Drosophila melanogaster: one gene and its partner. The protein of the gene in region 2 interacts with the protein of the main gene of each other region in a pairwise test. Each region holds a gene or a part of one and is shown on either strand. Other genes may lie near its edges.

Region 1 (8,760 bases), 3.3 Mb from region 2:
TTAATATTTTTTCTTAATCTCAAGTGCAATAAGTTTTAAGTTATTATATAAAGTACAGAAATTTAACTTTATAAAGCAAGTTTAAATTCAAAAATAAGTGCAATTTGAATTAACGCTTTTCCGTTACGTGACGTAACGTTAAGTACGACCTGCGCCAACGTCACGTAACGATTGGCACATCGATAGGCGTTGAATTGGGACGAAATGCCATCGCTAGGTGAAAGTGTGACCGTGCCCGTGTGAAGAACACAAACCAATGGAATAAAGTAAAAAAATTGTATATTTTAAAGCGGAATAAAATGATCTGTCGCCTGTGTCTGAACGCGCTCGACGAGCAGAGCGCGGTGCTACTGTTCGACGGCGCCGGCGGAGCCAGTGCGCCCGCACCGGATGACGAGGACGACGGCAAGGCGATGCCAGAGAGCTACCTGGTCCAACTGATCTCGATTCACTTGTACCTCTGCGTGAGTATTCGCTGATGATTATTTAGCCCACCGCCTCGCCCTAATGCTACCGCTCATCTGCCGCAGCTCTCCCGCGACGACGCCATCTCCACCTGCATCTGCACCGAGTGCTGCTCGCAACTGGAGAGCTTCCACAACTTCTGGAAGCTGGTGGAGCTAAAGCAGACGACGCTGTGCAGCCAGTTTTTGGCTATCGATTGTGATGTCAACTGGTCGGAGGATGGCAGCGAAACGCAGTTGGATGCGCAACCGCAATTGCTACTGGAGCCGGCGGAGGAGCCCAAAGTGGTGACTCCCACAACGGCGAATAAGTTTCCCTGCATGTTCTGCGAGAAGTCATTTAAGATGCGCCGCTACCTGGAGGAGCACATAGCCACCCACACCGGCGACCGACCCATTGCGTGTCCCTACTGCGAAATGGCCTTCCGCTGCCGTTCGAATATGTACACCCATGTGAAGAGCAAGCACACCACGCAGTGGCTAAAGGCTCGCGAAGAGCGGGATGCGGCCAAGTCGAATCAGAATCACACGACGCCGGAGGAGACCGCTCCAGCAGTTTTAGTTCCTGTCCCTGCTCCTGCTCCTGCTCTTGCTTCCGCTCCTGCATCTTCTGCTTCTCCTGGAAACACAGTAAATCCCGCTGCTACTGCTACTCCTGCTTCGTCTGCCACACCCACCACCAATCTCGCAGCAGCTCCTTTACCATCGCCACCAACTGTCCAACAGCTGCCGCTGTCGGTAATCAAGAGTCAACCCAGCGAGGCCATGAACCTCACCATAACCAAGACACCGCCATCCGGTAGTCGGGGCTCACGCAATCGATCCAGTCGCCGAAAGACGCACTCGCCCAAAAAGGTCCAGCACACGGAGGGCAGCGATGTTAGCGACGAGGATTCGCCGCAGAAAAGGCTCAAGGAGAACGAGCTCATACTGGCCAATTATAATGCGGTAGCCGCTGCTGTCGTGGCAGCCGCTTCGCTAACGGGCAATCCGCCAGGACAACCGGATAGCCTGCAGCAGCGTCTGTGTGCGAGCCTTTTGCAACAGCAACATCAGGAACAACTCTTTGCTGTCATGTCGGCAACGGCGGCTGCAGCGGCGGCCGTAGGAACGAGCAGTGCCACAACAACGACGACAACGACAACTGGGACAATGATGGCGCATCCCTATGGGTAAGTCGATTGGATACTCCAGCAGCAAGCAGCAAGCAGCAAGCTTACTAACGAATCTCTTACAGCAACCACCCGCCTTCAGAGACGGATAAACGACCGGCGGCTCCGCTGCAGGCTGTCATCCATGCGGCACCCGTTTCGATCATTTGTCCCAATTGCGGTGAGCTTCCTGGCCAGAATCATCGCTGCCTGAGCAAGCCCAAGTACGCATGCGATGTGTGCGGCAAAAGCTTCAAGATGAAGCGATATTTGGAGGTGAGTACTGCACTGCCTTGCATTGTTTCAGTTATCCGCAGCTGCATGGATACCACTAATGATAATGAATTCTTCTGCGGCAGGAGCACTTTGCCACGCACACGGGCGTCAAGCTGCACACCTGCGCCTTCTGTCCCACGGAATTCCGCTCCAAGTCGAATATGTACCATCACACTAAGCGCAAGCACAAAGCGGAATGGGAGAGATCGCGAGCCACGCGCTCGGCGGCCAAGGCTGGCGTCCAGGAGCAGATGCAGCACACCAACCCGTCACAGGCACAGGCTCAGCCGGGTCCTGCGGCCGCACTCTAGGATGGCAGCCGGCACCTGGACGCGGTGCATGCGTAGTCTTAGATCTTTACAATTACAAATATATACATATATATTTTTTGCATATTAGCCATACCGAATGTACTTATCCGACGTTTCGTGTACTCCACAAAGTCAAGGCGTCCCGCCGCCTGGCACCTATTGTGTATACTCTTCTCGTTCTCTATAATGCCTTAACCAGTTGGATTTGATCTGGTTATAAAGTAAACACATTCATTTCAAAAGAAACTAAAAGTCATGTGCACTTATTGGGCGGGGCTTACTGCTAATTGGTGGCTCCATCGATCCATTTGCATGTGAAAAAATCTCTGATCTTACAAGTTTATTTCGTTTTAGCAATTTATACATCTGTTTTTACAATAAAAGTAAAGTATGCGATGCGGGTTTATGCGATTTATGAACGTAATGGTTAATTCAATAAATACGGCGTTTGATACCAGAGATCCACTGCCCACTGGCATGGATCAGCCTGCAGCCGTGCACATCCGTGGTTTGTACTCCGTATTTATTGCACTGGTCATAAGGCAAATATATACCCTTAATGCTGGATGGGATTGGAGGATTGTGTGATTTAAAAGTACTGCCGAGGCTTTGCATTGCGATGATTGATGCGATGAAGTTGAACTGGTATCTGCTAACCCTAACCCTATGCCTGGCTGCTAGCTGCCCCACTGAGATTGGTGCTGCTCCACTGGAGTTGGCTGCGGTTGAGCGCGTATATGTTTCTGTGTCTTAATGCTTAAACTAAAGGCTGCTGCTTCTGCTGATGGAGTCTGGGTACTGGTTCTACGAACGCTTGCTGCGCGCCTGCGCCTGCAGCAGATCCACCGACGGCACGACAAACACAAACGACAGGCAACCGAATCGCAGCAGGCTGCCGTGAGCCAGCACCGCCGATCCCTCCCAGGCGCCATCCACCATGGGCACTGGTCCGGCGTTCATGCAGCGGCAGGCGGGCTTAACAATGGGCGCCAATCTGCGGGGAGATTAAATCAACAAGTGGTTATCATCATCATTGGGTAAGTTGGGCAAATAAACTATAGCTACCGTTCTTTGTCGATTTTCTTCGTCTCGAACTGGCGATTAATGTTCCGACGCTTGTCCAGCATCTCATCGACGCGCTTCTTCAGCTCCGCATCGTCAGGTCGCATCGGCTTGCCGGCGTGCGTTGTCATCCTTTCGGTCACGTCGCAGGCATACAGCTGTCCATTCACCTCGGTGCCAAACTCTGAGTAATTGATCAGCTCGTACGACTTGGAGAATTCGTCGTAGAAGATGATGGCGTGCTGCGGTGAAATGCGACAACAGTAACCAATGGCCGACAGGTCCACGGTCTCCGTTTGCGCCAGCGTCGTCGATGGCGAATAGTGTCCACCGTAGCCAATGTACAGCGTGCGGTAGCGCATGAAAATCGAATGGTCCAGCCCCAGCGAACTGAACCAGCGGCTATCCTCGAGCATGTCGCCCAGTGGCGTTATCACCGCACGCGCCTGCACTTTGCACTGCAGCAGCTTGAGCTCCAGGCGCGATGCCAGCTCGTATGCCTTCTCCGTGTCGCTACGGGCACGCGGCGCATAGCTTTCGGCAGCGGCATCTGCTGCTGCAATGGCCGCCGCTGTGGCCAGTGCCGGATGCAGGGCCGTTGCGGGATCTTCGTCGGCGGCATTGCCATTCTTTTGCGCCAGAATTGAGGACGTTTCGCTGGTGAAGAGCAGCGAGAAACGGTTCATATCCTCCGGCGCCAGTTGGCCTTGCAGGGCAGCAGTTTCGCCAGCCACATGTGTGCCATCGACTGACGCCAGTTGACGCAGGCGACGAGCGGCCGTGCGATTCTTGTACTGTGTCACAATCTCCGGATGCTCTTCGACCAGCTGCTGCAGACGCTGGTGCGCCAGCTTCTTGATTATATCGACGTCCAGGTGTAAGAGGTCTGCATCGATAATACCCGTTGATTTCTTGCTGTCCTCCTCGTCCTCCTCGAAGCTAGCCTCCACCTCTAGGCTGGTCTTGGACTCCACCTTGACAACCGACGGCTGTTCGCTGGCCTGCGCATTCGATTCTGTATTGGGATTCTCCGTATCCACTTCGCCATTCACTTTATCGGCGGGAGTGTTCGTCTCGGTCCTTTTCTCTTCAGGACTGGGATCGCTGTCGCTATCGCCATCTATGGCCGTCTCCAAGGTTCCGAATTCCCTCTGAATCTCACGGAATTTGGCGTGAGCCGTGCGCAAGGCCTCCAGATCCTTGAGCAGCGATTCGGTGACCGACTCACGGGATATCTCCTCGACTTCGGTGGGCAGGTTATTGCGCCGCTTTACCCGATCGTAGCGCAACGTTTGGCGCATGGAGGGCAACAGCGGCGGCGGATGATCGTAGTGGTAGCGCACAATGGCTGGCACCTCGATGTGGGCGCGAGCACGCAGATTTCTCTTGGTGCGAAAGGGCGGATTGCGCGTGTTGACACGCCGGAAGAACTCAAGCTTGACATTTTCATGGTCAAGTGGCTGGTGGAAGCGATTCCAGAGACGCACCCGCTCCGTGGCCGAAATGCTATTGGTCATATTGGCATCCTGTGAACAGACATCCTCATTAGAACCCAAGCAGACCTCCATGTGCGTTGGCTGACTTACGATAAAATTCTCGGCATGATTGGGGCACATCCACAATCCAGCTGGCAGTGCCGTCAGTGGCGGATCCAGGCAATCCTGGTGAAAGTAGAGCGGACAGTAGTCGCAGGAGATGAGCGGCGCCCGTTTGCAGGAGCGCGTGCAGTAGAAACAGGTTTTGGCGGGCAGCGGCACCAGTCCCTGGGCATCCAGCTCAAACGGCTTGGAGTTGCGTCGCTGATTGCCGGCGCATCTGCGATTACCGCCATTTCCGCTCGGCGGATGCGTCTGCTGTACGGGTTGCACCTTGCCATTGCCCGGGAACTGGGTGTGCAGCTCGAGCTCCGGCGGCAGCGAGAATTGCTGCGGATTCATCATGGTGGCCGCCCTGATGACATCGTCCAGCGGCGTTGGCTTCTTGTTCGGATCGAGGGCGCGCTGTATGGACATCGGCATTTTGGCCAGCAGCTTCTCGGTGCTATTGCGTTCGCTGTTGCTGCGTTTGCGCAGGTTGCGGATCTTCAGCGGTATGGACTCCAGATCGCCAGACGATGGAGTATTCGCCCGTGAGCCACTGCCCGCCGAAGGCACACGCTCCACGGAACTGGCCTTGGATGAGGAGGCCGGCGGCTGGGAGAGCTTGCTCATGCGACAGCTGTGGCACAGCCACTGGCCACTGGGTATGTCCTCCTCGCTCAACGGTGGATCACTGTGGCGAAAGCACGAAATCAGCACTCAAAATGAGCAGCTATATGCGCGTGTATATACTCACTGGCATTGCAGGTGGAAGCTGGAGGGGCATCGATCGCAGCACAGCAGATTGCCGCCCTCCTCGCAGGCGTCACAATAGTCGTGGTTGTGGCCCCTGCCCGGGCGCCTGTAGTACGGATGCTTCGTGTTGGTGGACCGCTGCATCATCTTCTCGTCCTCGTTGGGCGGCGGGCGGATGAGCTGCTTGATTTGCTGCGCGAAGTAGTAAAGTTATGTTAAATGTGGGAAATGGAGACAGTTGTGAATGCGTTAATGTGGCAGCTCTAGAGTAGCCACCGCCGATTGGAATTGGAGCTCCGGGCAGTGGACACACTGAAGCTCTGAATGGCGTCCCGGCGGCACACTCACCTCCATGATGCTCAGTGAGGCGTTCGGGTCCTGGTCCAATTTTGACATCTTTTTCGCTCGCTCCTCTTATCCGGTGTACACAATCAATCTCGGAGCGACTTCACTTGGCGACGGAGGCGGGCGCAGTGTCGGTTGTCCAGCCCTGCGCATCCGACGAGCGAATGGCCACACTGCGCGCCCACCGATAGGCGATTAACGGAAATTCAGTGCAGACTGCATTTCACTCCAAATCTAACTACTTGCAATTAATAAAGTTTATATTGGGTATACACATTCGTAACCGAAAAATACCCAAGCAAACAAATAGTTAAAAATTAAATACCCAAAATTCTCATATTTCGCTCAGACCTCACTATAGACACCTATATGTTTACATCTTTTGGGCACACCACTAGCTAGCACTCGCTGTTTTGGACCAACGCCCGCTAAAAGAGCATCACAGCTGGCGGACGACGCAATTTGCCAGTTGATTTTACCAAACAATAGAACAAAATAGTGCAATGTTTTCGATATTTGGCAAACGCAAGCCCGCGGAAACGCCCACGGATGACCAGCCCATCCAGGGACCGGCGGAGGCAACCCGTCCAGGCACCAGTGTCGATGATTTCGTGTTCATAGAGCGCAAACCAGTACCGGATGCTCCTCATCCGGGTGTTCCAGCCGGCTCCATGTATCCACCTATGCCGCCAGCGGGCTATCTGCCCTATCCGCCGATGCCAGGACCGCGCAGCGATCAAGTGAAGCAGCCCGGAGCCCAAGGACCCGTCAATTACTTGCAGGACATTCCATTCGAGCTGGCACCCGGATTGGCCAACAAGGATCGCTACACCAGCACCCAAATGCAGGTGGACAGCATATTGGCGCTACTAACGCGCCAATTGTCCGTGGACGAGCTGGCCGAGGAGTACACCTTCGCCCTGGAGCGATCCGTGCAGAACGAGTGTTACTAGCTTTAGATCCATAGATCCACTGGTTAATATTCATACATTACATTACATTACATATAATAAAACGTTGCTTATTTAATTGTAAACCACATATGCAGTGCTCTTTTGCTTGTTAGTGGTGTGAGTCATTGGAATTCCTTAATCTTGTTGCCATACAATTAATGTTCCATTTCTTTGAAAACATGTAGAACTTTTCTGACTATCAAGTAGTCCTTTGGTTTTACCTCGCTCACATTTCAACTGGGACTGCTCATAAGGTGATCCACTATCGCAGCGTGAATACATAAAATTGTTAGTGCTCCCGTTTACCCAAATTTTTCGTACACAAAAAAGATTTCGAAACATTATTTTGTGTTTATAAGTAACCAAGTTCAAAGCTAAATTTCCAATACGTACAAATTTACCAAGCCGAGACGAGCCGTTCCGTTTCGTTTCGTTTAGTTCAGTTCCGTGTAGTACTCTTCAGCCATGGCCAGCTCCAATGTCTCGGATTGGGATGAGCCGATGCCCACGTCGACGGAGTCGCTGCCCGAGGAGGAGGATCCGGATGTGTGCGCAGAGGAGAACGTAAAGAAGCGGCGGGAGGAGGAACTGGACAAGCTGGAGTTGTATGTGCGGCGCATGGCCTACCAGCCGACACTGCCGCCCAAGGTAAAGCCCTACGACGTGGCCCTGTCCAAGCCCAAGTTGCACACGCTCATCGACAACTACGAGCAGTTCAAGGATGTATACGATCCGAAGCTGCGGGCCAAGCGGATCAAGCGCATGCTGGGCAAATACAAAGCCATTACCACGGAGTAAGTGCAGCGCTTGCATCAGTTGCTAACGCGATCTAATCATCTCATCTCATTCCCAAAAACAGACAGCTGGAGCAGATCCTTAAGAGCAACAAGACCAAGGAGCGAAAGAAGGAGGATTTCCTGAAGCGCAAGCAGGAACTGTACTACAACATGCTGACCAAGCTGGAGCGCCAGTGCCGCACCCAGTACCTGAACGTGCTCATCAAGAAGTTCGCCAAATTCATTTCCCATCTGGCCACAACGATGCGCATTCCGCCGCAGCTGGTGGATCCGTATGCGCGCATGCAGCGCGGCATCTTCTGCAACATCCTGTTGGCCATTGGTGTGCAGCCCACCTCACAGTCGGCCATCTACTACACCAGCCAGGATGCCATCGAGTACGATGTGTGCCATCGCCTCGCGCACGCGCTGCTCAGTTTGATCATTAAGGCGCTGGACTCGGCAGCCACAAGGGATCCCAACGAGCTGGCCAAGCCGGCCGACTTGGACTTCGAGATGGACAATCACATCAAGCGTCGGCTCATGTGCGCCGCCGAGAAGAAGCTGCTGTACGAGCGCCGTCGCAAGAAGCCCCAGCCGCAGGGTCTTGGAGCCTTTGAGAAGTGCACCCGCTATGACTGCGACTAGGACGGCTCCTTCAGTGTATTCGTGTTAACATTTGGCTACTATTTATTCGCATAAGAAGTCTTGCTCACATGGTCACCTCGTTGTTTTGGTCTTGGTTTTGGTGGCGGGTATCGTCTGCTCCTTCATCTGGATGCACAGCCAGTTGGCGGGCACCTCGAAGCTGTCTGTGGGATGCGGCGTGTACTGCGCGCAGTAGGGCACATGCCAGGTGTCCGCCACTTGGTGGGCACACAGCCGATGACGAACGGGCTCCTTGACTATAATCTGACCCGTTTGCGTTTGGGTGACCAGGGAGAACTGGTGCTCCTGCTGCCAGCGACGAAAGATGGGCTTCAGCTCGGTGCCCAGATGAAAGGCGTGACTGCGCATCAGGTCGCGGGAGAAGAAGTCTGTCTCCTGGCCGCTGCGCAGCGTGGCATACAGCAGGAAGGGATCATCGTG
Region 2 (7,829 bases):
TCCGGCTGCTGTTTTCCCGCTTTTCCCACTTTTCCCCTGGCTATTTTTATTTTTGTGTTAGCCATGGGAGAAAAGTGTTTAATTGATGCTCCGCTGCTCTCGGTGTGCAATCCTCATGAAAAATGCACAGGACTCGCCCAGAAATTCCCTTTGAGCTTTGCAACTCTCACTATCCATATCTAAATTTCCACAAAATATACCAGAGATTAGAGCGAGCGAAATGAGTAAAGTGAGGGGCCAAGCTCAATTTAGGGAAAAAAAAAGTTACAAACAAACAAAATTACATTAAAAAAAAATGCTGGGGGGAAAAAATTAGAAAAACGAAACTGGGGAGAATAAGCAAACTTGTACTTTATCTAATTTAATGCAGCATATTTTCAAGGAATCTACTTAATAATATATTACGCTGTATACAGCGGTTTCTAAACATGCAACCATGTTTTCCAAATCGAAAAATATAGTTTCGAGTTTCAAATTTACCTATGCAGCTATTAAAACGGTGTACAATATACTCTTTAATGCCTTTTATAGTTTGTTCACTACACATTGTGTTTAAAAGCCAAATCTTGAAAGCAGCTTAAACGGCAATTACCAAAGTCAATGTCAAAGTTAGCAATCTGCCAAGTTGACGACTTAATTTCATGTCGAATTGCGGAACTGATTGCGATTCGATGTGACAGCGGTGAAAAGTGGGTAAAGTGTGGAAACTCTGGCAAATACAAGCACAAGCCGCATTCGATGCAAATGAACGGGCATGAATAAGTGAGTGAACTATGTATATCTGCCATTCTGGCAATACTCAAACACTCAAACACTCATCCATGCAAATGTGCTAGACTCGCAATAGCAATCGCAATCGCACGGCTACTGCTATTTTTCCCGCCATTCAGGGATATATCTCATCTGCATCAAGTGCGTTGCGCAACAACAAAGGACAAAAAAAAAGCAACAGCAACATATGCAGTAAAAAATACAACAACAAGAAGATGAAGAAAATAGGTGGGAAATCCTGCAAAGTGTCTGTAAACATTTATTTCAAAAATTTATGAATATTGCTCGCGCTCAGCAAAAGCAGCGGTGACAAACGAAAATTCCTTTTTGCCCCCACATCTCTTCGCCATTCGACTTGCGAATTGTTCAAGCAATGGCATTGTTTACCCGCTTTTCTCTGTGTGTACGCGTGTGTCTCTGTGTGTGTGTGTGTGTGTGTGTGTGTAAGTTATTGTTTCGTGACATGATATTTTACTGTTTTGTTATGGAATTCAACAGGGTATATCCAGACCCTGACGCAGATACATGTTTATATATATACCATAATTAAAAGGCTCTTGAAGTAGTTTTTCTGGAGCACTTTTTTCAATTTAACCTATATGAATAACAGTATATGAGTCACTAGAAAATAACGAATTACCAAATATTCCTGGCTACGATATCACAATTGATTTCAAGTTATGTTTTTTAATAATTTAAAACTCATATTCAATTAAAAGTTCGAATCAAACATTTACTTAGAACTAACTGGAACTAGAAAGAAGCCAATCCAATTTGTTGAAAATTTCAAAAGTTGTTTTATACTTGAATATCTTGGTTTTACTTTCGCTTGCTTAACACCTAATTGTTGTTTTCAACTATTCCAGTTGTCCGTGTTCGTATCATTAGAGGTTTTTCTGCTTTTCCGCTGACGAGGAATCCGAATGTCGGGAAATAGTTTCCCCTTCGTTCGTTCTTTTGCCACTCCTTTCACCGATTGCCGCCCCCTTTTTCCTTTTTCTTGTTGCGTAGCGCATTACAAATGACAGCCGCCTGTCACACACACATGTGCAACGGAAGGGAGTGGGGGGGGGGGTAAACCCACACACAGACACACAGAAGGAAAGCCACACAGACAGGCACACGTGTAGAATGGCATGCCATACATACATGGCCATTAGTGTTGTGTTGTTGTCGTTATCATGCACAAAAAAGTTGTCGTCTCTGCTTAACTTTACGCTGCCTTACTCCACTTTACGTGTAGGTCTTCTGGCAAAAGCCCCCTTTAACACCCAACTTTCCCCCTTTTCCAGCCTTAACCCTCCAACGCCCCGTTTGTCACACTGGAAAGTACATAAAACAATGTCATTGTTAAATTGCTAGCTAAGTTGTTGGGAATCTAAGTTTTTATCAACTAGAATATGAAATCTTTTGGGATTTTAATTCGAAATCCACAGGCGCTTAGCATCAACTTTGAGATCTTACAATCTGGATTTAATATTTCAAAAAGATTTTAAATAATCATAACTTTATGAAACAAAAACTCTTGTTAAATTCAAGTAATTAACAATCAAGTTAGGGCTTTGGTAGTTTTATAGTTTTGTAACTATTTCAAATGCAATGCCCTATCACTTTCGAAAATAGTTTTCCACTGTGTTTTCCACTCTTATCCCCGACGAGTGTTGGCCAAAAAAATTTTCGGTAGGAGAAACTTTAGTTGGTCAGCCAAGTGAATTACAAGCTCAGTGTTTAACCCTTAGCTCGCACCTTGTTTTTTTCCAGCATTTGTTCGCATTTCCCATTTGCCCCTCTCTTGGTTGTTATTTAATTATCATTTTTCATTCTTGTTTCGGGGTGGGGTGTGGAAAATGTTGTCATCGCACATGTTTGTGGAGTATTGGTATTTTCGGGTTCATAAGTAAACGAGAGGGAATTAAATGGTACATTTTCGTCGGCGAATATTTTTGATATTTTGATCTTTTGTTTTCGACCGCCCAGGATGCAAATGCAATTATAATTTCATATTTCAATTTGGCTGCAGTGCGGTACATTATGTTAAAATCCAGCGGTGGAAATGGTGAAAGTTGAAAAGAAAATAATCAAATTGTGTGGTTGCATACTTTTCGGATTTTTTTTTTTTTTTTTTTTGATCATCTTTGTGCATTTTTAAATGCACTTTTGTTGCTGCTGCAATTTTAGTTTTATTTTTGCGCCTCTTGCCCGCTTTTCATATCCAACTTTCTTTTGGTGCTTTCAAATTTCCTTGTTATCTCATAATTTTCATTCACCTTCCCTTCTTTCAGTCGTCTTTTGCTTGCCATTTTTCGATTTCCTATTCTTTCCGAATTTTCCTTTGACATTGCGTTTTCCTTTGGGTTGCTTCAATCGATTTTTATTTTTTTTATTTCGCTGCTAATCATGGCTCAATCACTTTTGGGCACTTTCTTTTTAGATCTAGATCCAAGTTTTATTTACTGCTTGCAAAATGCTAAAAAAAACAGTATTTTGAAACAAAGTAACGCTAATTTAAAATAATTTTATTATTCATGTACTGGCTTATTTGTTTTTAGCATTATTCTTCAACAAAGTGATAAAACATGAGAAAACAATAAGATGTCAACTACAATCAATTTTTTGGCCAGGACACACCTTTCTGAAGGGTTTTTTTCCCGCTCGATATTTCCCATTTCCTTGAGACTCGGCAAACATTTTAATGAGATTTTCGAATTCCAAAGAAATTCAAAACGTAGCTTATTCAACTTGTTCTATGTGTGCGTGTGTGTCTGTGTGTGAGGCACACTTTCTTTCTCTGCAAGTGTGTGCGTATTTGTATTTGTATTTGTGGCAACAGGCAACAAGCCAAGTTAATTAGCAAAAAGCAGATAGCGTCACACAAAAAAGGAGCAACCAACTAAGGCCATCTTAAGGTCTGATTGAGCAGCGAGTGAAAGTGGGTGAAAGTGGGTGAAAGTGGGTGAAAGTGGCTGAAGGGGAATGGAATGAAAGCTTGGCAAGGGGAGGGGGGGAGGGGTGAAAGGGGTTAACTGGAATGAAGGCCAACAAAAATGGGAGGTGGCTGAATTCTGCGGGGACCTCCGCTTAAGTGCGGGTTTTTGATGTCGGCGCAAATTGCAAAGAAAATGATTTATTATCTGCAAAAGGCAATTAAGTAAAATTGCTTGAAAATTATTTGCATCCCCTAACCGGTTAGGGAAAAATTTCAAATAGAAGCAAAACCAAAATACACGCAAATGACAGCAAATCTTTTAGACAATTCCAAAAAATGGGAAACGTAGGTTAGTGTATTAGTAAATAATCATTTTAATCATTAATCATCAATAATTAATCATTATAATATAAACATATAATAAACAAGTAAGTTTTTTCATTCATTTTCTATAAACGGAAACGTTTAAATTATTTGTATTTTAGCGAATTCCCAAAATTCACACTGTTTTTCCGCACTTATTAAATACGGCTTAAAAACATGTTATACCTTTCGAAATCAACACAATTTTCAATTTAGTTTCTCACAATTCATTTAGATACTACATTTTCGCATTAAAAACAGCTTATCTGCAGAAAAGTATTTTACGAATTACGGCGAAACCGAATTTCAATTAAGCGCAAAGTTTTTGACGCAAAACTATTTCACATTCGTTAAAAAGTTAACTGACAAAAGTTGTGCAAAACACGACAAAAATCGAATTTCCGCATTTGTAATCATACAAATATATTGTACTTTAGTTGAACACTATACACTTTCAGCAATTATATATGTATTTTTGACCAGATTTCCGATGACTTTAAAATGTCTTTGTAACCATTGCGTAGAAGGAAACTCACCTGCCCTTCGGTTTCACAATTCCAGCGCTCCAGATCCAACATGATTTATAAGTCGAATTAGAAGGAGCCACACGACGGGCATGGAACAAGAGTGAATTAATTACGAATTCAAGCCCGAAGAGGTAATTAATTCACTTCATTTTCTTCCCCTGCAAAGTTGGCTGAAAACCAAACCAAACCAAACCAAACTCGACTTGACTCGATTCAAGTCAACCATTTTGTTGACAGACAAACAAATGGTGGGCCAAATAAGCAAACATGTGCACATAGGCACCTGCTAGGACATTCATGAATTCATTGCTAACATTACGCCAAGGATATTTCAAATATTTCTTTTAAGATTTCATCCAAAGTCGTAATTGCTTAGAAATTTGGCTGGAGCTCTAATGTGCTACAAGGAGCAGTGCTTCGTTAATTTGGAAAATTATTTACATTTCCCAAGGACTTTTAGGTAATTTAATCAATGCCATTAATTCGTCACGTTTACGATTACCGCTATAATAAAACAGTTCATTTAGGCACGTTTTTCCGCAATGCAATTCATTAGGAGTTTTGACAAGTTGTTTTCTTTTGTTAACTACAGTTTCATAAGTGCCTATTTAAGTAGTCCAATTATAGTGATTGAAGGTATATTTTAAAATCAACTTTAAATGTATCTACAATTTTATGATTTCGGTTCATTCATTCATTATTCATTTCTTCTTTCTTTCATTTGTACAATTTTCTAATTAATTTCATTTCATTCATTCATCTTCCTTTTCTTCATATCTATTCTTCATTCTTTCATTTCTACAATTTTCCTATTCATTCTACTCATCATTCATTTCTTATTTCTTTATTTTTTCCATAAAAATCTTTAATTTCAATATTCCACTGAATCCGAATGTTCGAAAGCCCATTTTTCGTATCTATCAAAACCGTGCTGCCCGATTCATTCCGTTTGGTTTTGGCAAACATAGCCCCAATTCCGGACTTGCAAATGGGACTCCCGGTCGGAATTTGAGTCCTTGTCACAATGGAACTGACCATATTTACATTTGTCAAGCACTTCACTCACCTTTGACTGCGGTGTGTTCTCTGTGTCTCAAGCTTTCTCCGCCAAATCCTCCTCCGAATCGGAACGCGAATGGGATTTAAATATTTGCCACACACACTCTTTCACTTCGGCTCGGTCGTTTGTATTCGAATTGAAAAATGGTATTTCGGAACGCTATTGCACTTTATGTGTATATTTATGTATATATACTCAATTTCTTAGATTAGCACAAAAACCAAAAAAAAAAAAATTATGTATGTTCAGCACTTTCGAATATCTTTCGAAAATCGAAAACCGGGCAAAGGCAGTAACTGCGTGACTGTGAACTGTGACCAGTGACCAGTGACTTGCGACTGTGATGTGAGTATGCTGAATTCAAAGGCTGAGGCTGAGAACCGAACCGCACGAGAGTCTGTTGACGAATGAGTTACAAATGGACGATGCGAAACGCTAACAGCGGGAAGACAACAAGTTGCCGTGTCCTTAACAGCGATGCTAACGAGCACTGTGGAGTGGGTACATCTTAACAGCGCTGAAAGCTCTGCTCAACTGAAAGCTTAGCCGATGCAATTTCAAGAAAACTACTAGTCGTCGCCAACAGATGGCGCCGCAGAGCAAGTTTATGCTTTCGATGCACTTTAGTTAATTTTAAAATATTTTTCCAATTTACCCAACACACATACATACATAAAAACATCGCAGTTTTATCTTTTTTTTTTTTAATTTTATTTTCGTTTTTTTTTTTCTCATTTTGTTTTGTTGTAAGAAAATCTATTCATTATTCATCAGTCGACTGACTTTCTGCGACTTCTCTAGCTAAAAAAAAAACTCACTTCAACATATTTTGGTCTTAACAGAAAAAGAATGATACACTCCAAATCAGAATGGGTGTGTGTGGGTGGGGGAGGGGAGGGGAGAGACGAAACATAAACACGAGGGGCAATCAATTGTAATAGTAGGACTAATTTAAACATATCGTACAATTGGAAGGCTTTCTTGTCTTACAACGCAATCGATCGGTCTGCCTTCTATTTAAGTTCGATATTCCATTCAGTTAGAAGACTCGACTCATTCTGCTGCTACTCCTCTTTCTATAATGTGTCTTCAACAAACGAAGACACTTTCGCAAGGGGATTTCTTTAGGTTTCATTTTTTGTTGGTTTCATTTTCATTTGTTTTGTTTGTTTGTGGTTGTTGTTGTTGTTGTTGAGTTTGGAGTATGTGCAGTTGTGGGCATTTCAAAGTTCAAATTTCTAAAACAAATCTGTGAAAACGTTGGTTCGGTATTCGTTTATAGACTAACAATCTCGATAGACGAAAAAAAAATTATGATAGTATGATCTTTAGAAATGATCGAACATGATGTACATAACTAATTAATTACGAAACTTTTTGCTTTTCTCCCTACAGGATGAAAATGACGGGAGGGAGTGGGATCTTGCTGTTACTGCTCCTTCGGCAGCCGATGTTATGGCTACCGCTTTCGATGGTGTTTGGGATATGTGCAGTCTTGAGCGGATTTGAACTTAATCATCGCCAGCGGAACGCTTGACCTTGCGCTGCTTGGGACTCTGCTGGCTGGCCGCCTTGGGACTGGCCGGCTTGGTGGGCTTGGGCGAGGTCTTGGGCGTTTTGGACTTGGGCGGCGACTTCTGCAGCGCACGCAGCGTCTCCTGTGGCACCCAATCGTAGTCGATGGTGCTGTCGTTGGCCGTGCCGGTTTCGATCACCTTCTTGGCAGCGGCACGCTTCCTCTTGCCAGAGCTGCCGAGCAGATATTGCTGTCCGATGACCAGTAGCAGGACCACAATGCCCGCCAGCAGGACGTACAGGAAGAAAGTCTCGCCATCCAGACCCTCATCGACCTCCGAAATCAGAACGGTCTCATTGAACACGGCCTCGTTGTACTGAATACCATTGGCATCGCGGTAGGCCAGTGCAATGTTCAGTCCAAATGGACGGCCGGCAAACTGATCCGAGGGCAGGAAGGTGTACGACACGGTCGACTCAAAGCCGGGCTTCACCTCACGATTGTAGGCCACCGCCGAGAAGTTCTGGATGAAGTAGTTGAAGTCCATGGGATAGCGGAAGGAGGCCTCCACCGTCTCGATCACGAATTCCTCGGCTCCCTTGTTGGTGAATCCAATCAGGAACTCGACGGGTTTGCCGCCGGGCAGATCCAGCTGCTGGCCAGGTG

The links. Proteins that work in one complex are often made in the same cells at the same time.
Region 1: the proteins of CG32700 (region 2) and CG3815 interact in a two-hybrid assay, tested with the Drosophila melanogaster proteins (one large-scale study listed by BioGRID).

What each region holds. Positions count from the first base shown.
Region 1 is NC_004354.4:6,292,739-6,301,498, reverse strand, and holds CG3815 (uncharacterized protein), read right to left. Parts: upstream 6,111-8,760; 5' UTR 5,994-6,110; coding exon 5,946-5,993; intron 5,790-5,945; coding exon 5,599-5,789; intron 5,536-5,598; coding exon 4,851-5,535; intron 4,791-4,850; coding exon 3,268-4,790; intron 3,197-3,267; coding exon 3,007-3,196; 3' UTR 2,529-3,006; downstream 1-2,528. Other genes in the region: CG12219 (uncharacterized protein), read left to right, coding at 300-464, 531-1,636, 1,702-1,891, 1,975-2,202; CG15891 (uncharacterized protein), read left to right, coding at 6,446-6,895; CG15892 (uncharacterized protein), read left to right, coding at 7,361-7,689, 7,755-8,319; mldr (mulder), read right to left, coding at 8,392-8,760.
Region 2 is NC_004354.4:9,544,781-9,552,609, forward strand, and holds the start of CG32700 (uncharacterized protein), read right to left. Parts: upstream 6,059-7,829; 5' UTR 5,650-6,058; intron 1-5,649. Other genes in the region: l(1)G0320 (lethal (1) G0320), read right to left, coding at 7,159-7,829.